4 linked regions of the Tamandua tetradactyla genome follow. The main gene of each other region encodes a partner of the protein of the gene in region 2 in a complex. Links are inferred from orthologs where the notes say so. Each region holds a gene or a part of one and is shown on either strand. Other genes may lie near its edges.

Region 1 (7,356 bases), on a different chromosome or scaffold from region 2:
AAGGAATTTAAGGAATAACCCAGGGGTCTATTACAGAGTTAACACTTCAAAATATTAAAATGTACAGCGTGCAACAAAAGATTGCAAAACAAGCAAAGAAACAAAAAATGATGGCGCATCCAAAGGAACAAGATAAAAATCCAGAAACCACAACAGTGAGGACCAGACTTGGACTTACTGGCCAGAAACTTCAAAATAATGAAGCGCAATATACTCAAAAAGAAAAGAAAAACATGGAGGAAGAACAAACGGATACAAGGCAAGAAGGTGTGTGGTACAAAATATTTAAAGTACTGAAAGAAAACAATTGTCAAACAAGAATTTTGTATCTGGCAAGACTTTCTTTAAAAAATGAGGAAGAGATGATGATGAATATGCAATGAAGTGATGATATTGTGAATTACTGATTATATATGTAGAACGGTATGAGCATATCTTAAGAATGCTTGTGTCTTTTTCTTGTAATTTTTTTAATTAAAAAGAAATTCAAAAACAAAAAAGAAACAAAGGTATAGGTAACCATATGGGTAATTATAAATTCCAGTAGTATTGTATCATATTGTTTGTTATATAACTCCACTTCTTGCTTCCTACAGGTGCAAAATGTAAATGCACTAAAAGAATGATAAATCAATTATTGGAAATCAATGTACGAAGACAAAATCTGTAACAAATGCAAGAAAAAGTAGGGAGAGTGGATGGGTATTGAAACAGTGTATCTGTATGCTATTGAAGATAAGTCAGTATCAAATAAAATATGATTGTTACAGACTTAGGATGTTAAATTTTAACACATGTACCACAAAGAAAATACATGAAAATTATATTCAGAAAGAAATCAGAAGGGACTCAAAATAATACAATACAAAAAGTCAAATAAATACGGTAGTAGGCATTAACAGAAGAATTGAGTTTAAAAAAAAAAAGGCGTAAGACATGCAAATACAAAATAGCAAAATGCCAAAGGAAAGTCCTGTATTATCAAATTACCTTAAATATAAATGGATTAAACTCCCCAGTCAAAAGACAGAGATTAGCAGAATGGTTGAAAAAGCATGACACAATATACTGTTTACAAGAGATTCACCGTAAATTCAAAAACATAAGTAGGTTGAAAGTAAAAGGACAGAAAAAAAATGCACCATGCAAGTAGTAAGAGACAGAGAGCTGGGAAAACAACCCTACTGTCAGATAAAATAGACATTTTTTTTCCTTTTTTTTTTATTATGGGAAACTAAGCAAGCTGCTGTAGAGTCTGATTTTCCAAAGAAAATGCTTGCAATGATTGAACTTTAAAACATCTTTGAGTCCCCTTCAGCTTACTAGTTTTTAAATAAATCTGGTAAAAAAAAGAACGGATGAAAGTGGAACAGTTTTTCCCTGGGGGGGGGGGGGTGAATAAGTAGAGCCCAGTATGAGTATGACTCCCTCTAACAGCAGCCCTCCCCACTTTTCTAAGAATAACATCAACAGGAAGGTGAGGCTGAGCTAATCACTCAGCCATTGCCCCTTTCTAGATAGAAAACCCATTTGGTGGTGCATGGGCTCTCTGCAAGTGGAGCGCTTTTCTCTCTTAAAATAGATGTTAAGACAAAAACTATTAAAGGGAGAAAAGGGGTCACTACATACTGATAAAAGGGTCAGTTCAACAAGAAGACAAAACAATTATAAATATAGGAACACCTAACAGAGGAGCCCAAAAATGTATAAAGCAAATTTTGGCAGATATGGGGGAGAAATGGACAGTTCATTATTAATAGGAAATTTCAGTACACTCCTTTCGATAATGGATAGCATATCTATACAGAAGAGCAATGAGGAAACAGAAGAATTGAGATTCTAAACCAGCTAGAGCTGACAGATATGCATAGGACGTGTCACCTAGCAGCAGCAGAACACACATTTTTTCCTAGTGCACGTGGATTGTTCTTCAGGATAAACTGTATATTAGGTCACAAGTCTTGATAAATTCAGAAATACTGAAATCATAGAGTGTATCTTCTCCAATGGAATGAGACTAGAAATCAATAACAGAGGAAGAAATAGAAATTGTCTTGAAGGAGATGAAAATGAAGATACAGCATACCAAAAATTGTGGAAAGCAGCAAAGGCAGCGCTGAGAGGGTATTTTATAGCGCTAAATGCTTACATTAAATTAGAAGAAAGGTCTCAAAGTGGAGCCCTTACCTCCAAACTAGAAGATCTAGAAAAAGAATAACAAACTTAACAAAAAGTGAGCAGAGGGAAGGAAATAGCAAGAATAGAGCAGGAAAAAAATGAAATAAAGATTATTTTTTTAAAAAGCAATACAAAGAATTAATGAAACCATAAATTGGTTCTTTGAAAAGATTAATTAAATTAACAAATCCTTACCTAGACTGACAAAGTAAAAAAGGACACAAATAACTCAAATCAGAAATGAAAGGGGGCATTACTGCCAATTTCACAGGAATAAAAAGGACTATAAGAGAATATTATGAATAACTGTACACCAACAAATTGGATAACCAGATGAAATGGACAATTTCCTAGAAACACACAAACAACCAACATTGATTCAATAAGAAATAAAGAAGTAAAGAAATTGAATCAGTAATCAAAAACCTCCCAACAGAGTGATGCAAAATATATATAATATTCCATGGTGTATATATATATATATATCTCCCATTTTGTTTATGGGTGGCTTCCATCTTTTGACAATGGTGAATAATGCCACTAGGCACGTCAGCATTCAAATGCCTGTTCAAGTTCCTGCTTTCAAATCTTCTGAAGTGGGATTGCCAGGTCATTCGGTAGTTTTATACTTAGCTTTCTGAGGAACCGCCATATGTATTCCTTGTTTTTATATTATATACTGCATTTCATTGAGTCTAAGATACCCTTTCTTGATAGTAACACAACCCTAAAATTGGAATGTTTGTTCTTACAATCAATATGTCAGTTTAATTGGCAGCATTTTTCCTTCCTGTGGTACATAAATTTAAAATGAATATTAAAATCAATAGCATTTTAAGAAAGATGAAAATGTTATACGTTAATAGGGAGTGGATGATGGATCATTTTAATGGTTCACATCTACTTTTGGATATGTTTACCTAAGAAAATTGAGCTGGGAGAGGTTTAAGTAACGTTATTTCGTTGACTAATTCAGTTTAGTAACGTAACAGGTGCTTCCCTAAAAGGAAAGCCTTGGAAGCCTGAGCTGGGACCCCCTTCCCTCGTGGCCTGGAAGAGCCGCCCGGCAGAGGGGCTCGCAGCCAAGCCCCGGCCGCGTCTCCTGCCGCCCGCCTCGCCCAGCGTCCGCAGACGGCCGCGCCAGACCCGGGCCTTGAATGCGACCAAACTCTACAAACTCTTGTGATTCTGCCCTAGGAAGAACGAGGAACGCCTTTAGAGTGCCCAGACCACTTCGCCCTCTGGGCACCGCTGCCCAGGAGACTTCTGTCACTGCCCCGGGCGCAGAGACTATACACCCCGGTCCCGCCCCACCCAGAGAGGTCCCTCTCCCGTCCCAAGACCCGCGAGTGAGTCTAGCGCCCGGCCCGAGGGCTGGCCTTAGGGGCAGACGCACGCAAAGTCAAATTTTGCGAAATAAAGAGAAACGAATAAAGAATATCAACCACTCCGCCAAACCTTAAAAGCCCCTTCTCCTTAAAAGGCAACCCTTTCGCTACAGTGTAAACTTTTTAATTCATTATCTTTAAGTTTCAAAAACAAAACTGACTTTCAAACTTCTGCTGAATACCAAAACTGGGTCACTGTTCTGGGCTTGAGGTCCGGCCCTCTGCGTGAAGCACAGTGCGGGATGCAGGGGGGTCTGACCCGGGGGTGGGTCGCAGGGGTGTCTGCCGGGGATGGGCGCATCCTTGACCAAATGTTCACAGTTATCTTTGCAACCCAGGAGGGGGATAAAAGGCCGAGGAGCGGCCACCGAGATCACATGGTCCCGTTCCCAAGACCCCGCCAGGCTGAGTCACCCGGAGCTTCCAAAGGAAAAAATAGGTAGTTTGAAATCCCCGCTGGCGCGGCGGGCTGCTGGGGTCCCGGGCCCACCCGGCTGGAGGACGGCGCTCGCGGGGGAGGGCCTGGGGGAGGAGCCGGCGGGGGGAGGCCGAGGGCCGCGTCCGGGCGCCCACTGGGCGATGGGGACCCGCCCCCGGCCGCGCGCCCCTCTCCCCGCGCCCCTGCGCCGCCTGCGGACCCCGCCCCGGGGGGAGGCGCCCCGAACCTCCGCCTCCTGCGGCCGACAGCGATGCGCGACCCGCCCCGCAGCCGCGGAAGGAAGGGGTGGGGGCGAGCCGGAGCCCCGGGGGCGGGTCCAGCCTCCCGGAGCCGCGCGGGCAGCGCAGAGCGCGCGGAGCCTCGGGACAATGGGGCCGCGGCGGCTGCTGCTCGTGGCCACCGGCCTGAGTCTGTGCGGGGCCCTGCTGGCCGCCCGCACCCGCCACGCAGGTGAGCCGTCGGGGTCCTCCGGGTGCCACCGGGGCCCGGCTGCCCCGAGCCCGCGCGGGGGCGGGGGCGGGAGGAGGGGGCGGAGGATTGCGCCCCCGCCGCGGTTCCCCCCAGAAGCCGATCGAGAGCGTAGGCTGAGACCCGCAGCCGGCGACCGCATCTGCGGGGGCGTGCCCACCCCTCCGCGCCTCCAGCGGCGTCCGGCCGGCCTCAGGTGGCGGAGGCGGGGGCGGCCCGGCTGGGGCTGCGGGAGCCGGCGGGCCCCGCGGCGTCGGTCATGGTGTGGCGGGTTTCCCCGTTCGCCCGCGGACCCCCGCGCCCCCCCAGACAAAGCGTCTCCTGTTGCGTCTCTCCCCCGCGCCCCCCACGAAGTGGCGTGCCGGCCCGCGGGAGTCCTGTTGGTGGGAAGTTTGCGGCTTGCCCATTTGACGGCGAGGAAAGGGGTGCGTGGAGAGCCCCGCTGAGTAGGGAAGGAGGACCTGCGGCCCCTGATGGCCGGGCTGCGGGCTGGGGAAGGTCCTGCTTGTCACCGAAAAGCCATTTCTTCCGAGTTGAGGCAAAGGGGCCGCTGCTCCCCAGAACCGGTCTCCCAGGAGTCCTGGACCCAGTGTCTGACCTGCTCCGAGTTGCCCGGTCTGTTTTACCGCACAGGACCGGACGTCCCACCGCTGGTGCTTCTAAGTGTCCGGCTGCCTAGCAAATAGATGAATGTATTTCCCCCCAGACTCCCTGGGAAGGGCAGAGACGTGTTCATGGCGTCAACGCACTGCTTGGAAAGTGAGGAAACATTTTTGACTCCTTTGATAACCGTAGTACTTTATAAGCTTTTTGCCATTTTTTCAGCTTGGATCAAATTCCAAATCTGGTTTTCTTGTTGTCCACGAAAGCGTGTGCTTAATAGTGTCTCTTACAAAAAAAATGTTATTTTTTGTACAAAAAAAAGTTTAGTCCCATCTGGATGAAGAGGGAAAAGGCATAGCGTTTTCTCTGCTCTCCATGTTGGCTTCTGGGAGATGCTTTCCGGAAAAATAAGTCTGGGGCCAGAGTGTACCAGCAGCCAGGCTACGTGTGCATATCCAGGACCCTTCCTCTGCCAATGTTTGGGGGAATGCAGAGAACTGAGAAACTATTTGTGGTGACACAGAATTTCAGATACTACTTGGTAACTTGCCCGACTTTATTTCGGGACATGCTTTTGAGAATACAAATGTTTGCTTGACTTTTGCATGTGGGGGTGGAGAACTACTTTACCCAAATGCTGCATCTGCTTGAGGCCCCTTTTCTCCCAGTGGCTGCCCAGGATCCTTTTTGTCCTCAGGAAGTGAGGTTAAGGACTCCCGGTTCCTGCCACAGGTCTCATAACACTAGTGTAGCTAGACACAAGGACAGACATACAGCTGAACAAACACTGTCTAATTTATCTCTCCTGGATTATGTGACCACTTTGGTGGGGGAAAGAAGATAGGAGGCTGAGACAAGAAAAGGAGCACACGTACATTAAGCGTTGTATTTCCTGGGCCGTGAGACATTTTCACTTAGGTTATCTCACTTCTCCCTCTGGAGATCCCGTTAAGATGGATGTTATCCCCTTTTGCCAACAGTGAAACCAAGGCCGGGGGCGTGATGGGGGGGTACAGCACACCAAGTACTACCGGACTCTCAGTGCCCTGTACCCTGGGTGCAAGCACTAAGCAATGCTTTGTCTTTAAAGAGTTCTAAGTCACTAATATACCACGTGGAGATACAAGTACTTCTCCCAGGGCGGCTCCCACCAGTCCACGTCCCCTCCCCCACCTTGCTGAGCCTTGCCCTGGATGGGCAGCTGTACCCTGCACCAACTGGGCTGAGACACCCCCCTCAGGAAGCCCCCTGGGGCCAGCCCCCCTTCCACGTGAGCATCCCCGCAGCACTCATACTCTGCTCCCCCTCGGTTGGGCAGCCCTGGCCTTGTCGCTTTGGGGGTACCGCATCTCCCCAGCCAAGTTGTACCCGTTTATTTTTTACAGAGTCTGCAACACGTATGTTCACTCAGCACATGTTTATTGAGAAATTCGCTAGTTCATTAACCAGTCTACAGTCCTTTGTCGAGGCTAATTTGGACGTGGTGACCTGCCTTCATCAAAGAGGGCCGGTGTCTCCAGGAGGGACAAGAGGTGTCTGTACATTTCATAAAGACTGGGGGGCCCGGGGACTGGCTTGCGGCCCACCCCGAGGACTGGGCCCTGCCCTGGCAGGCGCCTGCGTCAGAGGGGGTGGAACTCTGAAAAGCAGGGGTTTGGGGAGAAACCAGAGTGACCAATATAAAGAGAAATTTGAAAGGGTCAAGGCAGCCTCTGCGTGGATGGGAGGGCAGCTGGTGGTGAAGGAGGCCGGCAGCAGGGGGCCGTCCATTAGCCCATGTGGGCAACTCAGATGTCACAGGGTGGGATTTCACAGTGGTAGAGAGGCAGACTGGTGCTAGAGTGAAAGCTCCACGAAGGCAAGAGATTGTGCTGACTTTCGTCTCACTGTTGTATTCATACCCTCTAGAACAGTGCCTGGGAGACTTAAAATATTTCTTGATGACTCACTAAGGAATGATTAAGATGTGGTCGGAGAAATTTCATTTCTTAAAATGAATTCAAGACTGAAGACATCCCATCCCAGGATACTGAATGTTCAGATGTGGATGTGACAGGGCAATTGATTATTTGTGAGAACTCTGGGAGAATGGCAGTCTTCCCCAAGACTAGAGATGAGCAAGCATCCTGATGTTCAAAGGTGGTAAAGCAGTAAGTTGCAGAAAGCACAGCTGGAGGAGCTTGTTAGTGACCCCTTTTGCATTTTTAGAATAAATTAAACCACAAAAAAAGCAGTGATACAGGTAGTTCACTTAGATACATGAATACCGAATTATACCAA
Region 2 (7,565 bases):
CATTGTGGTTTTGATTTGCATTTCTCTAATAGTCAGGGAAGTTAAGCATCTCTTCATGTGCCTTTTTGCCATTTGTATTTCCTCTTCTGAGAAGCGTCTGTTCAAGTCTTTTTCCCATTTTGTAATTGGGTTGGCTGTCTTTTTGTTGTTGAGTTGAACAATCTCTTTATAAATTCTGGATACTAGACCTTTTTCTGATATGTCATTTCCAAATATTGTCTCCCATTGTGCAGACTGTCTTTTTACTTTCTTGATGAAGTTCTTTGATGCACAAAAGTGTTTAATTTTGAGGAGTTCCCATTTATATATTTCTTTCTTCAATGCTCTTGTTTTGGGTGTAAAGTCTATAAAACCCCATCCAAGTATAAGATGTATAAGATATTTCCTTACATTTTCTTCTAACAGTTTTATGGTCTTAGACCTAATGTTTAGATCTTTGATCCATTTTGAGTTAACTTTTGTATAGGGTGTGTGAGATGGGTCCTCTTTCATTCTTTTGCATATGGATATCCAGTTCTCTAGGCACCATTTATTGAAGAGACTGTTCTGTCCCAGGCGAGTTGGCTTGACTGCCTTATCAAAGATCAATTGTCCATAGATGAGAGGGTCTATTTCTGAACACTCTATTTGATTCCATTGGTCAATATATCTATCTTTATGCCAGTACCATGCTGTTTTGATCACTGTAGCTTCATAATACACCTTGAAGTCAGGTACTGTGAGACCTCTGACTACATTTTTTTTCCTCAGGATATTTTTTAACTATTTGGGGGACCCTGCCCTTCCAGATAAATTTGGTTATTAGTTTTTATATTTCTGAAAAGTAAGTTTTTGGGATTTTAATTGGTATTGCATTGAATCTGTAAATCAATTTAGGTAAAATTGACATCTTAACTATATTTAGTCTTCCAATCCATGAACACGGTATGCCCTTCCATCTATTTAGGTCTTCTGTGATTTCTTTCAACAATTTCTTGTAGTTTTCTTTGTATAAGTCTTTTGTCTCTTTAGTTAAATTTATTCCTAAATATTTTATTCTTTTGGTTGCAATTGTAAATGGAATTCTTTTCTTGATTTCCCCCTCAGATTGTTCATTACTAGTGTATAGAAATACTACAGATTTTTGAGTATTGATCTTATAACCTACCACTTTGCTGTACTCATTTATTAGCTCTAGTAGTTTTGCTGAGGATTTTTCAGGGTTTTTGACATACAGTATCATATCATCTGCAAACAGTGAGAGTTTTACTTCTTCCTTTCCAATTTTGATGCCTTGCATTTCTTTTTCTTATCTAATTGCTCTGGCTAGAACTTCTAACACAATGTTGAATAACAGTAGTGATATTGGACATCCTTGTCTTGTTCCTGATCTTAGGGGGAACGTTTTCAGTTTTTCCTCATTGAGGATGATGTTAGCTGTGGGTTTTTCATATATTCCCTTTATCATGTTCTATCTTTCTTTAGTTTCTATTATTTTGAAGTCTTCCTGTGCTGGTTTGAGATGTTATGTACCCCAGAAAAGCCGTGTTCTTTAATCAGTCTTGTCGGAGAAGACCTGTTATGGGTGGGGCCTTTTGATTAGATTATTTCCATGGAGGTGTGACCCTGCCCCTGCATTCAACATAGATCTCAAGTAGTTCACTGGAGTCCTTAAAAGAGCCAACACAGAGAACAGAGAGGTGAAACCAGACAGGACATTTGAAGATGCTTAGAGATGGAAGTCCAGAGAGGAGACCTCTAGAACCCTGAGCTGAAAGCAATGAAATCAGGAGCAAAGGGCCAGCAGGTGTTGCCATGTGCCGTCCCATGTGACTGAGAAACCCCTGACGCGATTGGCCTTTCTTGAGTGAAGGTATCCTCCTGTTGATGCCTTAATTTGGATATGTTTATTGCCTTAGAATGATAGCTTGTAACTTAATAAATCCCCTTTATGAAAGCCAATCCATTTCTGGTATATTGCATTCTGGTAGCATTAGCAAACCAAAACACTCCTCTACCCCACTCCTTTTATTTCCATGCCATGAATTTGTCAGAGAAATGGGTCATTTCTTCAATAGAACATCCCTCATTTTGTTTTTGTTTTTAATTTTTTATTTATTAAAAAAATTAACAACAAAAACATTAACATATCATTCCATTCTACATATATAATCAGTAATTCTTAATATCATCACATAGTTGTATATGCATCGATTTAGAAAAAGAAATATAAAGACAACAGAAAAAGAAATAAAACGATAACAGAAAAAAAAAAGATTATACATACCACACCCCTTACCCCTCGCTTTCATTTATCACTAGCATTTCAAACTAAATTTATTTTAACATTTGTTCCCCCTATTATTTTTTTATTTTTTATTAATTAAAAAAAATTACAAGAAACAAACATTCCCAACACATACACTCAGCAGTTCACAATATCATCACATAGTTGCATATTCATCATCATGATCATTTCCCAGACCTCATTTTTTGACATGGTGGTTGGCTTATTCCTTTATCTTCTGTGTTTCCTGTAAACTAGTAATTAAAGCTAGAGCTTTGATTCGATCCAGGTTCATTCTTTTAGGAAGAATCCTCCACAGGCAGTGCTGTGCATTTCCTGTTGTATCATATATCATAGTGCTACTATGTGGTGGGTGCTATGTACTTTACAAACATTATATATGCTGGGGGGTATTTAGTTTTTATTTCATTCCCATAAACTTTACAATCCAGCTCGACTTAGAGGACGATAAGGAAAAAAGTTAAATCCAAAGAATTGCAGCAAAGAAGATCACAATATTGTAGGATTGGAGAGTTGGGGGCGCTGTCCCCAGTGGCAGAAGGCATGGTTGGGGATAAGAGTCAATTCCTCAAAATCAAATCTACGAGAAGGCCCAGAGTCTTGCTGATCTTGCAGTTCCTGGATGCAGAGCTCCCAAAGCTTCCACAGCGTTCAGGCTGCCTCTCTCCTTGCCAGAGAGCGCACGCTTGCCCTCCAGGCTCAACTGCGCAGACGCAAACTGGGAACCGTTCAGGTTGGGTCCAGCATTTGCCCCAGACGAGATGCCAAGATGCCTATTCTTCAGAGGGAAGTTCTCATCCAATGCTAGGCCGGGAAGACCTATTCCCAGGACAGCCGGTCCTGGCACACAAACCGAGAAGCAGGACTCACAGCCAAGTCCCACGTCCCGCTGCTCCGGAGCTGGCGTGCGCCACTTGGGAGTACCGCCTGCCGACAGGCCGAGGGCGTGCTTCTGTTCGGGGCGATGGGACGTCTTGGTCATCTGGTAATGATCGCGGTGGCGGCGGCACAACATGTGGAAGTGATCACCCCCGCTGTGCTGCCCACTTGAAAGTGTCAAGGTGGGACATTTTATGCTGTATATATGTTATCACAATAAAAACATTTTCTCAAATAGAGGGCTACGACTAACTACCTCAGAGTGCCCTGTGGGTGGCCTGGGTCTGGGTCTGGGTCTGCCCATGCCGCGGCCGCGGCTCCAAATAACGGACCCTGCAGAGGCCACGGGGATCTGAGTTCAGCTTCTCAGCAGCCTCATGAGGCATGTAATGTTCTATTTCTGCTCTCACAGATGGGGAGACCCAGGCTCCGAGGCCCAGCCGGGACCCGCACGTTGGTCTCCCTGCCTTGCTCTGCAGGTGCCGCGCTCCCGGGGTCCTGGGATGAGCTCTGACCGCGGTTTCTGTCGGATTGGGAAGGTCTGGGGGTGGACAGAGGGCCCTTCCCCAGTCCCCCGCCCCCTGCGCAGGCCCTCAGTGCAGCGGCAGGCGCAGGTGTGTTGTGTCTCGTCTCCCTCCCTGAACACCTCCTCCTCTTGCCTCTTCTCTTTAGCCAGGTGACTTAGCATGAGCCCAGGCTGGTCCTCGAAGAAAGGAGGTGAGCCAAGGACCACCCGCCCACAGGCAGGAGACGAGTCTGGTCCTCACTCCCCTTCCCAGGAGCCCTGCCCACTTCCCTCCCTCAGTGTGTGGTTGTAGAGTAAAAGAGTGAAGTTAGATCACTTCGCCATCACACACACGCGCACACAGAGTCGGCCCATCATCATTAGTGAACAGGGGATTCAAATTAAAACCACAGTCACGTGGGGACACGGGTTCAGTCCCCGGTCCATGCACCCAAACCACGGCACGTGGTCATCCTGTGTGAGCTGGGGCGCGGGCTCCATGCCACTGGGGCTCTCGGCCTCGGGGGTGGGGCACAAACTCACGCAGCCGCTGAGGAAGACCCCTTGTCAGCGCTCCTTCAGCAAACACCCCCTTCGTAGCCAGGAACGCGCTTGTGAGCGGAGGGCCTTCTGTCTGCACTGGAGGCCGTGCGGGAGAACTCAACGCCATGGCGTTCTCAGGGCTGCAAACAGAGCCAGGCGCCCATCGGCAGAGGAACGGCGAGGACCCATCATGAGGTCCGCCCTGGCAGAGGAAAGGACTGAAGGACATCTACAACTGGACGCGCACAGAGATGGAGGCGGCGCCTGCATGGGCGAAACGGCCCGTGGTGGCGCAGTGCAGGAGTGAATCTCTGCAGGGGCGATCACTGGCTGTGTCGCGCGACACAGCAACACCTGCCAGGGCGCTGGGGCTGCTCTCTCTCGATCTGGGTGGCACTTACACGCATAACTGAAAATCGGAGCCGCACACTTACAACCTGTGGACTTTATTGTAGGTGAGTTTCACCCCGACTAAAAACAGGTGTGTGTGTACACAGAGAGCACGCACAGGGACTTGGGCCCCGTGGGAACTGAGCTGCGTGTGGGAGCCCCTGTCCCCACACCCCTCCGAGACCCCCAGATGGTGTGTCTGCAGGCCAGACGCAGAGGCCAGGCCCAAAGGCAGGCACAGCAAGAACCTGCCTTCCTTCTGTCCTGCTCTTTGTCCCTCTGTCCTAGTTAGACGCAGGACTAATATTTACCTTGCACACTGCAAACAGGAAGTGGGGGCGGGCTGGGGAGCAGCTGGGCATGTGGCCCATCGAGGCCTGGCAGGGGCCCCACCGCGGACCCTCAGGGGTGGGTGGCCCTGTGCCGGGTGGGCAGCAGGTCCCGGGAAGTGAGCGACACTAGGCCGCTGACGCCTCCCAGCCCATGACACACAGCCGCACTTCTGAGGCACCCGGAGCGGGAGGGGCAGGCCCGGGCCGTCTGTGCTGAGAGGCCACGCTGGTGCTGACTGTCCCTGTGTCCCGGGGAGCGGCAGGTGGATGCCCCGTCACACCGTCACCCTGCTCCCACTTCCTCACCTCTGCGCCCCCCGCCGGTCTGCAAACCCCTCCCAGCTGTCAGGCACTCATGCCATGTGGTCTCCTTTGGTCCTCGCACCAAAGTGCTGACCATGCCTGTTGGGCAGATGGGGAAACTGCGGCACACAGAGACTAAGGAGCACCACTGGCTGCTGGCCCTGGGAGCCTCAGCACCATCGTCTGACCCTGGCCCCGTTCCTGCAGCCACGGGCGGGAGGCTGAGGGCGCTGGTCGCACCACCCTTTCCTCTGACTCCTTCCTGCACGTCCATCCCTGGTTCCAGGCCCTCGGGCTGCACAGCGGACGTCCCTCTGCTCGTCCCCACGGCCCTGACCGCTGACCTCTCCCTCTGGGCCGATTTCTTCACATTAGTTCACCATTAACCCAGAGGCATCAGCACGCGCCGCAGAGTCCCGAGTAGACCCACCATGGCGCTTGCCCGCGGCCTGGCCCTGGCCACCCTGCTCAGCCTCGTGCCCGGCCAGCGCGGTGAGGGGGCTGGGGTCCGGGCAGGCGGGGGCTGCGCCCTGGGCCGGGGTCCCCACGTGGGACGGGGGACACAGGTGCCCCCCAGCTGGTTCTCGGCCCAGGGTACCCAGCTCAGGAGCTGGGGGGTCGGGGGGGTCGGGGGCTGGGGGTCGGGGGGCAGGGGGTCGGGGGGCAGGGACTCAGGGCTGGGGGCTGGGGGTTGGTGGGCCGGGGGCTGGGGGCCTCCACGCTGCGCCCCAGCCGCTTCCCGCGGGCCATGTGGGGAATGTGGGTGACTGTTGGGGTGGGGAGGGGCCCATGAGCTGAGCCTGGCAGCCTTCCTGGCTCTGCTGCCCACTGGGGAGGCCCACAGGGCAGGCGGGCTTCCACCCTGCCACCTGCCGCCGGGCACCATGCTCCCCGAGGCTGTGCCCGCCACCTCCCTGGGACCATGCCCATCCCCCACCGGGCCATGCACACCCGCCCCCCCAGAAACATGCCTGCCCATCCCCCTGGGGACCATTCCCTCCCCTCCACCCGGGGCCATGCCCTCCCGTCCCCCGAGGCCATGCCCGCCGCCTCCTCCACAGTGTTCCTGGAGCGCCAGCACGCGCTCTCGCTGCTCCCACGCGCCCGCCGGGCCAACAGTGGCTTCCTGGAGGAGCTGCGCAGGGGCAGCCTGGAGCGGGAGTGCATGGAGGAGCAGTGCAGCCGCGAGGAGGCCTTCGAGGCCCTGGAGTCCGCCAGCGCCACGGTGAGGGTGGAGGAGGGGCGGCCAGGGACCCCGGAGCGCGCCCAGCCCCGCACCCGCCTAGGCGCTCAGGGCCGGCGTGGGTGGAACCGTGCACATGCGCACTCCGCGCCGGGGCCGCCTCTGCCCTGGCCACGCGCAGCCTCAGCCGGGCTGCACCGAGGTCCCCGGGCTGATGGGGCCATAACAACGGCGGGGCCTTCCTGTCCCCAGCCACCGCCCGCACGGCCTGCGCCCTGGCCCTGCCCGTGTGGCTGCTCCTGTGCCACCTTTGCGGTGTGGGGCTCTGGGCCCCTGGCCTCTGCAGCCTTCCTTCCCGACCCCGGCAGGACCCGGCCCAGGGTCCCCGCCCTCCCTCACCTGCCGACTCCAGTGGGGGATCCCTTGGCAGGAGTGGCTGGAGGTCAGGGGTTCCCTCTCTTGCCCTCCCCTCCATGAGGAGACAGAAGTAGGAAACTTGGCCACAAACCTCCCCACAGCCTGAGCCCTGGTGTCTGGTAAAGGGACAGGAACATGAGGAGACATAAGTTTACTGCAAGCGAACACAAGGGCCCTGGTGGAGCCTCACCCTAGCCCTTACTTTTCAGGATGCATTCTGGGCCAAGTACACAGGTGGGTGCTGCGAGCGAGCCCCAGAGGGGAGAGACTCTTCTGATTCATCTGTCCGTCATTCATCCATCCATCTGTCCGCCTGTTTCTCAGCGTCACCTCACCCAACTTTACTCCACCCCATCCTGCCCCTACCCCAACCCCAGAGACGTGTCTGGCTCTTTTCCAGCTTGTAACACGGTGAGAAAGCCTCGGGAGAAGCTCGTTGAGTGTCTGGAAGGTGAGGAACAGTTGTCGGGGCGGGGCGGACAGCACGTGAGGGGGGCGCGAACCCCAGGGAGCTAGGCCTGTGCTGGGGCGAGGCACAGATAGGCGGGCTGGGTGCGCCCAGGTGGGCGGCCTCTACCACCGACACTGACCTTCTGTCCCTGTGGCCGAGGGTCAGCGGCTGCCCACTGCAGAGAACCAGTGTAGGCTCCCAGCCTGGCAAGCTGGCCCGTTGGAGGCCGCCCCCTCCTTCAGCCTCCCTTCCTCTGCACCTGTCCAAGCCCCCGC
Region 3 (6,993 bases), on a different chromosome or scaffold from region 2:
TAATGGGTTAATCTCATCTTTCCAAAAGTTATTTCATCTCAAACTGACTTGGGAGTGTGTATTTCCTATAGCTGCTATAGTACATTTCACCAATTTAGGGGAGTAAAACAATGCAAATTTATTCTCTTTCAGTTCTGGAAGCCAGCAGTCTAAAACAGGTTTACTGAATCTGAAACCAAGGTGTCAACAGGTCTGTGTTTGTCCTAGGGAACCAAGGGGAGAATTTGTTTCCTTGCCTTCTCCAGCTTCTAGAGGCCACCTGCATTCCTTGGCTTGTGGTCCCATATCATACTTATCTTTTCCCCTGCTGCTTCTACTGCAACATAGCCTCTTCTTCCTTTGACTTTCTTGACTCCCTTCAGGAAGAACCCTTATAATTACACTTAGGACCCACTCAGATAACCCAGTATAATCTTTGCATCTCAAGATTCTTAACTTAATCACATTTGCAAAGTCTCTTTTGTCATATAAAGTACATTCACAGGTTCCAGAACTTAAGGGATTGTTCTAGTTTGCTATCTGCTGGAATGTGATATACCAGAAATAAAATGGTTTTTAAAGGGAGAAATTTATTAAGTTGCAGGTTTACAGTTCTAAAGCCATGAAAATGTCCAAATTAAAGCAAGGCTATAAAAATGTCCAAATTAGGGCATCAAAAATAGGTAACCTTCACTCAAGAAAGGCCTAGAAAGTTCAGGGCTTCTTTCTCAACTGTAACATTCCCAAAAACCTTGTGGGCTTCTCATGCATGCTGTGGAGATCCATGAGATTAGACAAGGGATCCTCCACAGATCTTTCCTGGATAATGCCACCGCTATTTTTGGTTTCTGTTGAGTTGTTTGAGATGATCTATGAGTCATAGCCTAGTTACAGAGCCCTCTGTGGGAATTGCTTACTCTGATCTTTTGATCCTGCATAGGCGCTATGCAAAATGTTGTCCATCCACACACTCGGCTTTCTCTGCAGAGCACGCTTTCCTGACAGTGAATCTCCTAATTTTCGTATTTTTTGCAATCTGCATAGGCTGATAATTTCCCAAGTCATCCAGATCTGATTCCTTTTTGCTTAACAATTCTTCCCTCAATTTGTCTCTTTCCTCTCACATTTTACTAGAAGCAGCAAGAGGAAACTAGGATGCACCTTCAGTGCTTTGCTTGCAGATCTGCTCAGTTAAATATCCAAGTTCATGCCTCACACATTCCGCTTCCCCCATAACTATAGAATACAATTCAGCTAAGCTTTCTGCCACTATATGACAGGATCCCCCATCTTCCAGTTTTAATAATGTATTCCTTATTTCCTTCTGAGCCCTCCTCATCAGACCTTCTAATGTTCATTTTTCTATCAACAATCTGTAATGACAATTTTGTTATTCTTTTAAGATGATATCATGACCTTAAAAGATATCATGATCTCTTCCATGACCCTCACTCCTTCTGATCCCTAAAGAACAGCACCTGTAAAATATTTCTACCAACAGTCTATTAAGGATTATTTAGTTACTTTCTAAAATGACATAGATTTCTTCTACCTTGCTTCTCACTTCCTTCTGAGTCTCCACTCACAGAAATTTTAACGTCCATATTTCTAGCCTCAATATTCTTTAAGCCTCTATCCATTACCCAATTCCAAAGCCACTTCCACATTTGTAGGTATTTCCTACAGCAACAGCTGGCTTCTGATCTTAAAATCTGTATCAGTTTCTAATAGCTGCTACATAAGCTACTGTGGGTTTAGTGGCTTAATTTATTTTCCCGTAATTCTGGAGGTCAAAAGTTGAGAAGCATTCCACTGACTGAAATGAAGGCATTGGCAGGGCTATGTTCTTTCTGGAGGCTATAAGGGACAACCTGGCCCTCATTTTGCTAGCTTCTAGAGGCTGCCAGCATTCTTTGGCTAATAACCTCATTATATCACCTTTTCTCCCTTACCTTCTGTCATTACATCACTTTCTCCTGACTCTGATCTTCCATCCCTCTCTTACAAGGATCCTTGTAATTACATTTAGGACCCACCTTGATAAACCAGGATTATCTTCATAGTTCTAGACCCTTAATTTATTCACATCGTTATCATCTCTTTTGTCATATAAGGTAACATTCACAGATTTTGGGCTTTAGGAAGTGGATCTCTTTGGGAGGCCATTATACAGCTTATGACAAGTGTGAAACAACAATTTCCATCCTATAGGACATTGTGATGGTTAAGCGTATGTGTCAACATGGCTAGTTATGGTGTCTAGTTGTTTGGTCAAGTGAGCAGCAGCCAGATTATTACTGTGATGACATTTCATGGACTTAAATCATGGGTCAGTTGATTGCATTTATGGCTCATTACTTGTACAATCAACAAAGGTGATTGCCTTCAGGAACGTGAGAAATCTCAACCAAGCAGCTGAAGTCTCAAGAGAGAACTGATGATTTCTGCAGTCAGAATGAAGAATTTCTATGTCAACTTCAACTACCAGATTCTTCTGGAGAATTTTTTAAAACCTTCGTTGGAGTTTCCAATTGCCTGCCCTATGGAATTTGGACTTGTCAATCCCAACAGTCACTTGAGGCGACTCCTATAATAAATCTTATAATATTTACATAATATATATCTATAATAACTTCTTGTCAGTTCTGTTTCCTGTAGGACTCTGACTAATGCAAACATTGATTAGGAACCTCTATTTAATAAGATAAAGGACTGTTTGTTAAAAGAGTCCTTTGTTGGAAAGTGAAAAACCTAGACATTGATGTGTGACACTAATGTGTGACTTTAGGCATATTCCCTAACCTCTCTCTGTTTCAATTAATTCAATGAGGATGATAATTGTATCTACCTCCCAGTACTTTGAGAGGACACTGAGTGCAAAATAAGGACCCACTGTTTAAGAATGACTGTGTTTGTCTCTAAATTGAAGCTGAGCTCAGTGCCTCCTTGTAGGCTTGTTGCATGGACTAAAAGAGATAATGTATATAAAGCATTTAGCTTAATGTGTATTCCATCTTAGGGTCTCAATAAATATGATTCTTATCATTCCTGGGAAAATTCAAAGATTCCCTAAACCAGACCCAAAAATTATGTAGAAGAAAAGGAACAGACCCAAAAATTACGTAGAAGGAAAGGAACAGTGATTGTGGAGTGACCTGGTTTGCTGGACATCAAGATTGCTTCCTCTGGGTAATACTGCTTTTTCCCCTTGCCATTTTCACATCCCAGCAGCACCCACACAGGTTTCCTGGATCATGGCCCCAGACAGTGCACAAAGGCGGTAGGAAGTTCTAGGCATGGGACCTCTGGAAATATAAGAAAGATTTGCGCCAATATCCTGCACTAATGTCTTGGAAATACTCCCCGAAGTATAAGGCCGATTTAGGAATCCTCAAGTGCAAGATGAAAAATGACAGTCCAACCGAACCCAAAGAAATCCCAGATTCAGTCCTTTTCTAAGTAAAGAGCAGTGTCAGAGTCACCGACCCTGGCATTAATCATCACCCAGCCCCACCCTTGGTATATGACTTTCAAAAGTCCCTTCATCTTCTGAGTCTCAATTCCATTGTGGAACAAGGAAATGATGCAATGATCACTTCAATTCAGCCATTCTGAGGCTCTCTCAATCCATTTAATTTAGACCAAAATCTGACTGTTATGGTCTGGGAGTCCAGGAAGCACAGGAAACCTGCAGCCAGCTTGGGCTCAAGCCCCCACTCCACTGGATCTACAACAAATCAGCTACAGGGAGCGAAAGAATGGAACCTAGTGAAAGTGAGAGTTTGCCGGATGGTGTCCCTTTCTTTGACTCTGGAATGCCAGCAATTGGTAGCTTTTTAAGCCATGTGTCCCGGGAGGGCCCTTGCCATTGCAGGCAAACAGTGTCCAGTGTGGGGATTGCAGAGCTGTGAGCCACTGGCCTGGGCGGCCTTGTCCAGCTCTTTCCTCTTGGCTGGAGGCCTGAAAGGGCTCACCAGGGCAGGCCAAGGCGGGGCCAGGGGAGGGGTGGAGCAGAGCCTGCCGCCATCAGCCACAAATACTAGCTCTAGCCTGCCAGCCCTCTGCTCTTGACCCAGCCTGCCGGACCGCTGCCTCGATTGCCTGCCACGCCTTGCCACGGGACACCGTAAGTACAGACACGTGGAGTGCAGAAAAGAGGTTTTATGGGCTTGAAAAACATGCATGGAAGGGTAAGGAAAGGACCCTAGAATTATGGGATTTGGAAGTATCCAAGGGTGAAGAAAGCCAGAGTGGGAAGAGCCCTCTGTTATGGTGGGGATCGAGCCCAACTTCCAGGCAGCAGAGGTGGACACCCACTAGCTGTGTGATCTTGGACACGATACTAAAACTGGGTGAGGCTCAGTTTTCTCAGCAGTAAGATGGAAATAATTATCCCCTGTGCATGGTGTGACCTGAAGACTAAATAAGGCAAGTCGTCCTCACCTGGACTGGTGTTACCCTCAGGGAACATTTGGCATGTCTGGAAACAATTTTTGGTTGTCACAACTGGGGGTTGGGGGGCTTACTGCCGGCATCCAGCAGGTGGGGGCTGGGAGAGGCTGCTCAAAGGACCCTCCAGCGCACAGGACAGCGCCCACTACAGAGAATGATCTGGCTCAAAATGTCAACAGTGCTGAGGTTGAGAAACCTTGAGATAAGGTCGTGGGGACAAAATATCTGGCAGACTGGAGGTGCTCAATAATGACAACTTCCATTGGTTTTTGTGCCTGGGGTTCTCAACCCTTAGAAGTCAGGGATAATTGTGAAACTTAATCTGCTGCCCTGAGATAAGACCACGCAGCTCTGTCCTGGAGGCTGCCCCTCAGCAGGGTTGCAGTGGCTCCTCAGGGGCTCAGGATGCTGTCAGGACGTTTGCTAAATAAACAAAACTTAGACATAAATCATTGGAGTTTTCACTTTTTTTTTTTTTTTACTCTAGAGCCCTTGGCAAGCAATGACACAATAAAAGGAGACCCCTTCTCTCCCCCTGACCCCCACTAGGGGACCAGCATCCTCATGTGCAGTACAGGAATTCAGAGTTGGCTTCAGGGAGGGATTACTCGAAATCCCTGGAAATTGAACCCCTGGGCCAGGGAGACGCCCTACGGGAGCCTAGCCTGGTTCTGCTGCCCTCCGTAGTGCCCAATGAGTGGTCTCACACCAAGGAGTTACAGAGTCAGGGACTGGGTTTCATTCACTCACTCACCCACGCATTTGTTCATTCATTCCACAAGGCTATACAGAGCACGTTTCCTAGACTGAGGAAGGCTCAGGGCTCAGAGCAGCACAGACAAGGGCCCTCCCTGCAGTGACCACATATTCTAGTCAGGGAAGGGCCCAGAGAAAATGAAGCCAAGCAGACCCCCAGGGATGAGCCTGGCCCTGGCACTGCGGGATCAACAATGCCTTCCTGACCAAAAGGGCGAGGAGAAGTATAACAAAATAAGGTATCAGTGGGTGAGAATGTTCAAAAAGAGTCGAGATGCTATTCTGGAGGCTATTCTTACTCAAGCTTCAGCTAAATATTGCTATTTATCATGGTTTGTCAAATCCCAATCAATACCATTCCTGCCAATCTTAAAGAGCACCTTTGTAGAACATCTGAGAGTCTACAAAGTTTCCATGCACTATGATTACTTTCCAGAAAACAACTTCCAGATGTTTCCTAGGCCAGATAAGTCCTGAAACCCAGAGGGGCCAGCCTCTCCAGAACATCAACTAGTTCCATCCCCCTATCCCATATTATCAAAAAAAAGTTAGAATAGGCATAACCCCAATACTCCTAAAGGTTGGGAGAAAGATCAAAGGAGAGGGTGGAATTATAACAGAGAAGATAGGATTTAACAAAAGAGTATGACTGCTGAATCATTATATTGATGTTTCTTTTAGTCTCCAGTGTCTTGGAGCAGCCAGAAGGAAAAACTTAAAATTGTGGAATTGTAACCCATACCAAACTTTGAAATCTGTTCTATAACTAATTGTTGTGGTGTGCTTTGAAATTTATACCTTTTTTGTTTATATGTTATTTTTCACAATAAAAAAAGGAAGCCAAGCAGTGCATATGTAACTGCATAGTTCTAAGTGATGGAACTATGGGAGAAACACTGAAGGGCTGGGGTGGAGAATAACAGTGGAGGGAAGGGAGTCAAACTAGCTTTGACAGGGCATCACAGAGAAGTATTTAAGCAGAGACCTGAAGCCTCTATTGTGAATCTGGCCATGGTCAGAGATTTCCTGTAGAGAGAATGGGATGTGTAAAGGCCCAGGGGCAGGATAGAGAATGCTTAAGGAATTGAGAAAAGATAAAGTGGGCCTAGGCAGAGTGAGTAGGGGGAAGCAGGTGGAGGTGAGGCTGGCAAGAGCCAGGTAGAACCAGGTCACATAGGGGCTAGCATATTTTAACACAAGGCAAATTTCCTTTTATGTGAAAACCTTGGGGTAGCAATGGTGTTCGTAAGTAACCTGTGCTCTGAGCAGGTTCATGTTCAAAGGAGATCCCTTGAAATGCTGTTTGCAGAATTGCTTGCTGGGGCAAGAGGGCAAGCTACTGTGGTGGTTCAGGTAAAAGATGAAGAGAATTTCTTTAGGATGATGACAGGGAACATGGAAAGAGCCAAGCAGATTTAAGACATATTTTAGAGATGGAAATTGACAAGCCTTGTTGATGGGCTGGAAATGGAGAAAGAGGGTAAGAAAGTTTCCCAAGGTCACTTTTTCCACAAAGCTCTGTTTCTGGGTCTCTAGAATCCAGTGGAAAGTAAAACTTTGTCATTCCCTCTCTGCCTGGGCTGCAAGTCCTACACCCCATATTGTAATCGGCAGATATTGGACAGGCCGTCCTCAGCTACACACGTCCCACCATTGAGTCCAAAGTGGGACTTTGTTGTCAGACCTTTGTAATAAAAGCCTACAGATCTGAGTGCATGGATGATGGGGAATCAGCGGGAAAACATGCCCACCCCTTCCCCCCTACCCCACCCTCCACCCCATCTCCTGCCACACATCAAGTCACCT
Region 4 (6,896 bases), on a different chromosome or scaffold from region 2:
CTATTGTTTTTTTGGGAAATGAAAGGAGAGGAGCCACAGTGTGGTTCAAAGGAGTCAGTATCACAATGATCCTCAGAACCTGGGGTTCTCTATCTTATCTGACCAAACACATGTAGAAAAGAATACCCAGCCCAGCACTCAGTAATGTCTTTTCTCTGAAGCGCTTGGTGAAAAGCAGTGAGGACAATGGTTAAGTGCAAATTGATGCTCTGGTTTAATCTGTTTTAGAAACTGGAGAAAGAGGAAATTGGATTTATTTGAAAGCCAACTTTAATAGGAAAGAAAAAGGCAAATGCCTTTTTAAAGCTAAAATAAAATAATAATAATAATAAAAATAAAAACTACACCAAAGCAATAGTCCCAGAAACTAATTTTTTAGGTGAACTGTTTAACCAGTCTCTTTCCCCCTGGTTGAAACAATCTTACGTAACAGCCTGTACATTTATAATGTTGTGTAACAAGTAATGTGATGATATAATAATAAGTTTTAAATAGGGGTTAGATAGGAGATGAGCAACTGCTATCATCTTATTATCATAACATCAGTCATTCTTCCAGACAAAACACCATCACCCATTGGGAGTTAAGGACAGTTTTTACTTAAATACAAGGTCATATTGTCTGGGTGCATGGAAGAACCGTGGGGGCAGGGTGGGGGGATTCTCTTCCTCTAAGGCACTCAACGCTGGCCCTCTTCCAAGAGAGGAAACAAGACTAAATAGATCATTTGTTTTATTCTGTTTAGGCATTTCTTGTGTTTCTCCCAACTGCAGCTTATGAACACAAAGCCAAACTCAGAGCCTGGCTGAAGCTGGCTAAATGCCAGGCTACATTTTTTTTTTTTTTAAGGAATAAACAATTTGAAGCTCTCTCTGAAGATTAAGACAGGCCAAGCAGTTGAAGGACAAAATGAAATTCTGCTGTGAAGGTGAAGTTGCAAAGACAGAGCCAGGTAGGAGTGTTAAATGATTTGGATTTCTCAAATAGGACTGAGATAGAGATAGGAGGGAAATGCCAGTTGGAAGTTCAAAGCCATGAAAAATACATTTCAACAAGGATATAACATTATAGGAAGAACCTGCTGCCTATGAGCACCCAATTGGGGTTAGAGGACAGATTCTTTGGGGCAGCCCCACAAAGATTGGGGTCAAAGTTGCTGGTCACTTGACGCCATCAGGTCAAGAGTGTAGCTTCAGCTATTGCTTCTGTCTCCTCTGGCTGGCCTAGGGAGAGCCAGCCAACACCAGCCTTGCCCTCCCCATAATAAGCATAGTTGGTATTCCCAGCATATCCCACTGGCAGAATGGGTCTTTGTCTTCAGTCAGTTCCCTCTGGGAGACACTCATCGGCAGTCCTATCCACTGTCCAAGCAGAGAGAAAGGAGCATTGGTGGTTGGGTTTAGTTCTGTGTCTTAGTTAACACTGCATCCTGTCTGATTTCAGAATTGACAAGTCATGTAGAATATTGCTCAAAATGTTCCTTCAAAAATACTGGGGAGAACAGGGAAGTGAATGGCAGTCCTTAAAATGTAAACAAAAGGGATAAGTTCTGAAGACTTCTGAATGTATTTTATAGATGAAGAATCCAGGTTTTAATTATGCTCTAACTGTAAAAATAAAGCTTTCCCCCCCAAAACACCGAGTCAATGAAAGGCAAGAGACTGAAACCCTATAAAACAAAATTAGGTACATTGCTTTCAAAAACTAATTTGACTTTACAATAACTTTACTAAAAATTAAAAATTACAAATAATTACCAAAAGTAATTGAGATATTAATCAATGTATCAAGGTTAATATCCTGATTGTGACGTGTAATTGTTTTGCAAAATGTTACCTTTGAGGAAAACTGGGCAAAGTATACAATACACTCTGTATTATTTCTTCCTAAAATTATCTCAGCTAAAAATATGTCAATGTTGGAGTGCGCGGGTAGTTCAGTAGTAGAATGCCATGCAGGAGACCAGGGTTCAATTCCAGGCCCATGCACCCCCCCCCCCTCAAAAAAAAGTGACTCAGATAGAACTGGATACAGGGAATCAGGCAGGTTTTCACAATCTGGTTTCACCCACATTTCCCAATCGCAGTTTGTTTCCCCACTAATTCCCTGAATGACCAACCCACCTCTGCATGGGGAAAAGGCTACCTATAGCTTCCCAAATACACAGTGCTCACCCCCACCTCTGACCTTTTCTTCCCCAGCTCTCCCCACCCCATCTCCTCTGAATATTTCCCAGCTCCACTCAACTGCCCTACCTGACTACACCAGGCCTCAGCACTGTAGCTGAAGCAGCACTTATAGCTCATCATAACTTGGCATTTGTCCATCCATTGGTCAAAAATATTTGTTGAGCAGCTGATAGATGTGTAGTATGGCTTTTGGCACTAGGGAAGGGGTGAGTTGGGAACAGCATTGAACAGGTTTCTCTTCCCTGCCCTCTGGGAGACTCTATTCTAACCACAGAGCATAGAAGAAAAGCAACCAAGAGATGAGCTAAAAATAATAAAGGAATTTCAAATATGATGAGGGCCACGAAAAAAGTGGTAAGTTGGAAAGGGGAGGAAATGAATTTAGTTCAAGTGGTCAGAAAAGGCTTCCCTGAAGAGATGACATTTGAGTTGTGACCTCAAGGATGAAAAGGTGTTACTGAGAAGATACTGGGAACAAGAAAAGGCCGAGGGCACGAGGAAAATGGATGTTATGTGCTGCTCCGTAACTGAATATGCATATTAGGCATCATGTAAAATGATGAAACCAATTTTCCTTTGTGACTTGTGTATCCTTCTTATTTTAAGCTCAAACCTCCATAGCTCATTTCTCTATTCTTTAGGGGCTGTGAACTCCCTTAGACTGGCCCACGGTTGAGACTTTTAGAAGCAAATCGCCACCCCCCCACTCCCCGCCCATCCCCACGCAGACACCCACCACACTGTCTAGCACGGCTGCCTACCGTAGTAAATGCAAATCGATCGTCCAAGTTGCTCTATTAGTAGATCCAACCTTAATTCAAGGCTGTGTCCCAAGGAGATTTACCACGACTCTTTTCATGGTTTCGGGGCCTTCTGCACTCATGAACTCAGGGAAACCTCAGTCATGTCATTAAAGTTGGGTTTCCACAAACCTAACCTGGCGCAAAGAGGAACTGAGCGAGTTGGGGGTAAGAGAGCCGGAGCTGGACGGTAACTCGTCGCCGGCCTCTGAGGTCGGCATGTCTCGGCGGCGCACAGAGTCCCACCAGGTGCATTACCGGGAGGTAAAGGTTGGATTCCGAGGGTTCTGCAGATACCTCATGCTGTCACCCGCTTCTAGGAATCGAGCTTTCTGGATTCCCTTGTCTGCTATCTGCTTACGGAGTCCCCCGAGAGCCTCCGCGAGGTGGAGAAGTCGGCTCTGGGGCACCCTGCGAAGCACCGAGACGGCCGCCCTGTACCCCTCCGGCCGCGCCCTGGCACCGTTATCCACGCCAGCCGGGGCCGGAGGGCACTGTTCCGGGGCGTCTCCCTGGTTCTCCCAAGGGGTAGCCAAGACAATATGCCGTGGGTCCCAGGGACGCGCCACAAACCCTCATCTCCCCCCGACCCACCCCGCCGCCGACCCAGGCGACCCACGTGCAGCTCGACCCCGGCAGGCGCCACACGTCGGGGTCGGTTCTTCTCCCCGGCGCTTTCCGGGCACAACCCCACGACCGGGACCCGCAGCGGTGCCTTGCGGGAGGCCGCGGCCGGCGCGGGGACGTCCTCGGAGCCCCGGCGCGGGGGCGCTGCGGGCCGCTGGCACACAAAGGAGGCGGCGGGAAGGCGGGGCGGGGCGGGCCAGAGGCGGAGTCGCGGCCGGGGGCGGGGGCGGCAGGAAGGGGCGGGGGCCGGCGCGGCGGCGGCGATAAAGCCCCCGAGCCGCAGCCGGCCAGTTCAAGCGGCGCAGGGCTGCACGGAGCTGCGTGCGTCTGGAGGCGCCACCGCCTCTTTCATTCCCGGACACTCGTCGCTGCCGCCGCTCTCCGTCCTCCGACTCCGACTCCGACTCCGGCTCCGGCCGCGCCACTCTCCTGGCCGCCACCTGGGGATCCTGGGCGGTGAGTACGGGCTGCGCGCCCCGCCACTCCCGCGGACGATCCCGGGCGCCCGGGGGGCGGAGGGGCGCGGTCGGCGGTGCCCTTTGCTCTGGGGTCTGTCCCCTGGGCTCTGTGCGCCGCCGGCTCCGCGCCGCGACCTTGCGTCGGGCCCCGAGGCTGCAGGGCGAGAGGGGCCGGAAGGTACTGACGTCGAAGCGGAGGGAACTTTCTCAGCCTCCCTCTGCCAAGGCTGGGTGCCGCCGCGCTGGGATCCCCGAGTAGAAACCCGGCAGGGCGAGGAGGGGCCGCGCCAGCTTTGGCGTCCAGGTGTGCCCGCAGCTGGGAGTCCTGGAGCCGGCGGGGAAAGACCCCGAGCCCGGCTCTTCTCTGTCTCCATCCTAGCTGGCGCCCCTGACCCTGAAACTGAGGGACCCAGGTACTCGCGGGCGTCCCCTACCCGGTGCACTTGGCGTGTGCGCAGCTGGATGGGGAAAGACAAATGGGCTCTTATAGGTTACCTCCCCCTGAACGGGGTGGGGGTCACCAGCGGCTTGGGGGAGAGCCCTTAAACTGATCCCTTTCAAGCGATTTAAGCCTGTTGAGTAGGTCTTTGCTTTTTTCACCTGTAGCAATGGGGATTGCAGTGCTGCTCAGTGATTACAGGTAAGGTGAAAGTATTCGGAGATTGTGGGCAGAATTAGGTGTTTAATTTGCCTACAAACCGAGCAGGGAGGGAGGGCTTCTATTACATAAGACAACACTGCACCTCCAGTTATTATGGAAGATGCTATTGAAGGTTTTGGTTTCTTAAATAAAGAAAAATAATCTTTACGTGTAGGTCTTGAAGCCACTTAAATGCTGCTGTGGCTTGTTTTGACTACTTTGAAGAGAGCCTTCTTATGTTTAGCATCGACATAAAAAGGTGTTTAAAGGTTTGACTTCCTCTTTCAAGTCGGGAAGCAGTTTACTTCTCCGAAAACTGTTCTGGAACAATTAATGTGATAATTTTGTACTTCGGAGATTTTATAAGAAAAGTTGAGCACAGATAATTGGAAGACATGTACGTGTTGCTAATTTGTATAGCTAAAGCTCACTTCAAAAAATTGAAGGTAGTTTAAACGTTATCTGCATATCTGAATCACTAATTGTGTGCTATGTGCAGTATTTGAGCAAAAATTTCCTACAGCTATGCAAAGGAAGGTGTTAGCCTAAATGATCTAAGGTTTCTTTCAACCCCCCAGCTTTTATGATTCTTTATTAAAATAGTGTTTGAAAATGTTGTAGGGTACAGAGCTGAAGGTTATGAGGATGTCATTCATTTTCTATTCTTAAAAAAAAAAAAGAAGAAGAATCCATGAAGAAAATGTCTCCCTCCTGTCAATTTCACATCATAGTGTAACTTCAAAGGATAAAAATTTAGTCTCCAAACGGGGTTAATTTCCAGTTCCACACGTGGATGATTAGCTACTAGTTAGAGATTGTTTTGAGGCAGTAGAATTGGAAATGATGGTGCTCTAGCCAGCCTCTGTGTTGACATCCTCTGCCAGCCCATCATTCTCCCATTGGACAGGGTACTTTGGCTCATGGGCTTTCTCCTTTCCTCCAGTCCCAAAGTCCATCTGGGTGATGATACTCTGAATTCTCATTTCCTTGACCATCTCAAATCCGGTGACTTCCAAGTACTCCATAGTATTTAGTCCACTAACTACCTCCAGGTCTCACCCTTGCCCAGAGATGCTCAGCTTCTGAAATTGGGAAGTCCACTGTCTCCATCTCTCAGAATCACAGCCTGTTATGCCTCTAGGTCGCAGACTCATACTCCCGTTGTAACTCTTCTGCCATGCACGAGAGTTCCAATCCCTTCCCTCCGTGTTTCGCAGGTGACTTCCTGGCCCACTCTACCGAGAAAAATAAAAGCCACCATATGGAAGCCTCTCCATGCCCCAACCTCTGTCCCCCATTCCCAACCTACAAACTTTGCTGTGTCTACTCAGTCATTCAGTAACTGTTCTTAAGTGTCTCCTGTGTGCCAGGCACTTTGCTGGGCCCTGATATACAGTAAATATAGCAGGTCCCTGCTTTCTTGGAACTGTTATTCTTGTGGGAGGAAATAAAGCAAATATAAATATATTATAAAATGGAGAATTAAACAATGACAGAAGTAAAATCAAGTTGGGGTGAGGAACTTCGAGAAAGTTAGAGAAAGCCTCCCTGAGATGTCTCCAGCTGTGTCCCGAGTCCCCATGCTTCCTTCTCTTCAGGAATCCTGCTCTCCTCTCTGTTTTATCTCTACTTCCTGCTGCTGAACTGTTTTCATTTTTGCAATATTTTAAAAATGCCTTAAACTCCCTTGACCCTGCATCCTCCTACCTCATCTCTAGTTATCACCATATCTCCCCATGCTTCTTAAATTTCTTACCCCCTTCCTTACCCTGCCCTTCATTCTCTGCTCCCTGCAAGCTGGAGGAGACCCTGGCAATTTCCTGAGCAAGTGATCTTGTGGCTTCTCCTCGAGACCTCTCCGTGGCATCTTCCCTAGTTGTCATCTTTTCCTGGTTTTCTTCCTGCCTCACTAGCATCTCTGCTCTCTCCTGGGGTTACCCAGAACTCTGTCCTCACCCCTCTTCTCACTCCACATAGAGCCTTTGGGTGAACTTCATTGCCACAGCTTCAGCTCTCTCCAGTGCAAAGGGAGTCCCAAATCGGTATCTCCAGCTGAGAGATCCTCCTGTGTTACCTACAGTCTAGTGGACTTACCCGTATCCTTTAGGCAAAAGAAAACACAAAGTATAGTAAGTCCAAAACTGATTCTAGTTTTCACTGTCCCCTTTCCCCTCGGTACCCA

Evidence for each region.
Region 1: the proteins of F2 (region 2) and F2R are in contact, whole or in part, in a crystal structure (PDB 3LU9), measured with the Homo sapiens proteins. The link is inferred for Tamandua tetradactyla from reciprocal best matches to the Homo sapiens genes F2 and F2R. Residues at the interface, in NP_000497.1 of Homo sapiens: Phe382, Arg383, Pro386, Gln387, Glu388, Leu389, Leu390, Cys391, His406, Cys407, Tyr410, Trp413, Lys415, Leu423, Arg425, Arg431, Thr432, Arg433, Tyr434, Ile441, Met443, Glu457, Asn458, Leu459, Asn506, Thr510, Lys517, Gly518, Gln519, Arg541; in NP_001983.2 of Homo sapiens: Ala33, Thr34, Asn35, Thr37, Leu38, Asp39, Pro40, Arg41, Ser42, Phe43, Leu44, Leu45, Arg46, Asn47, Pro48, Asp50, Lys51, Tyr52, Glu53, Pro54, Phe55, Trp56.
Region 3: the proteins of F2 (region 2) and SERPINA5 are in contact, whole or in part, in a crystal structure (PDB 3B9F), measured with the Homo sapiens proteins. The link is inferred for Tamandua tetradactyla from reciprocal best matches to the Homo sapiens genes F2 and SERPINA5. Residues at the interface, in NP_000497.1 of Homo sapiens: Arg383, Pro386, Glu388, Leu389, Leu390, Cys391, His406, Cys407, Tyr410, Pro412, Trp413, Asp414, Lys415, Trp455, Glu457, Asn458, Leu459, Asn506, Arg541, Ile542, Asp562, Ala563, Cys564, Glu565, Gly566, Asp567, Val588, Ser589, Trp590, Gly591; in NP_000615.3 of Homo sapiens: Gln241, Lys295, Lys296, Arg297, Thr368, Ile369, Phe370, Thr371, Phe372, Arg373, Ser374, Ala375, Arg376, Leu377, Asn378.
Region 4: the proteins of F2 (region 2) and SERPINE2 are in contact, whole or in part, in a crystal structure (PDB 4DY7), measured with the Homo sapiens proteins. The link is inferred for Tamandua tetradactyla from reciprocal best matches to the Homo sapiens genes F2 and SERPINE2. Residues at the interface, in NP_000497.1 of Homo sapiens: His406, Tyr410, Pro412, Trp413, Trp455, Arg456, Glu457, Asn458, Leu459, Glu509, Thr510, Ile542, Asp562, Ala563, Cys564, Glu565, Trp590, Gly591, Glu592, Gly593, Cys594; in NP_006207.1 of Homo sapiens: Val225, Arg288, Ser355, Ala356, Thr358, Thr359, Ala360, Leu362, Ile363, Ala364, Arg365, Ser366, Ser367.

What each region holds. Positions count from the first base shown.
Region 1 is NC_135347.1:55,543,328-55,550,683, reverse strand, and holds the start of F2R (proteinase-activated receptor 1), read left to right. Parts: upstream 1-4,344; 5' UTR 4,345-4,373; coding exon 4,374-4,455; intron 4,456-7,356. UniProt on the Homo sapiens protein: High affinity receptor that binds the activated thrombin, leading to calcium release from intracellular stores.
Region 2 is NC_135334.1:123,427,188-123,434,752, forward strand, and holds the start of F2 (prothrombin), read left to right. Parts: upstream 1-4,544; 5' UTR 4,545-4,669; intron 4,670-5,516; exon of another isoform or gene 5,517-5,525; 5' UTR 5,526-5,670; coding exon 5,671-5,731; intron 5,732-6,300; coding exon 6,301-6,464; intron 6,465-7,048; coding exon 7,049-7,073; intron 7,074-7,239; coding exon 7,240-7,290; intron 7,291-7,565. UniProt on the Homo sapiens protein: Thrombin, which cleaves bonds after Arg and Lys, converts fibrinogen to fibrin and activates factors V, VII, VIII, XIII, and, in complex with thrombomodulin, protein C. Functions in blood homeostasis, inflammation and wound healing.
Region 3 is NC_135338.1:55,677,797-55,684,789, forward strand, and holds the start of SERPINA5 (plasma serine protease inhibitor), read left to right. Parts: upstream 1-3,972; 5' UTR 3,973-4,105; intron 4,106-6,993. UniProt on the Homo sapiens protein: Heparin-dependent serine protease inhibitor acting in body fluids and secretions. Inactivates serine proteases by binding irreversibly to their serine activation site. Involved in the regulation of intravascular and extravascular proteolytic activities.
Region 4 is NC_135329.1:199,776,817-199,783,712, reverse strand, and holds the start of SERPINE2 (glia-derived nexin), read left to right. Parts: upstream 1-3,876; 5' UTR 3,877-4,072; intron 4,073-6,896. UniProt on the Homo sapiens protein: Serine protease inhibitor with activity toward thrombin, trypsin, and urokinase. Promotes neurite extension by inhibiting thrombin. Binds heparin.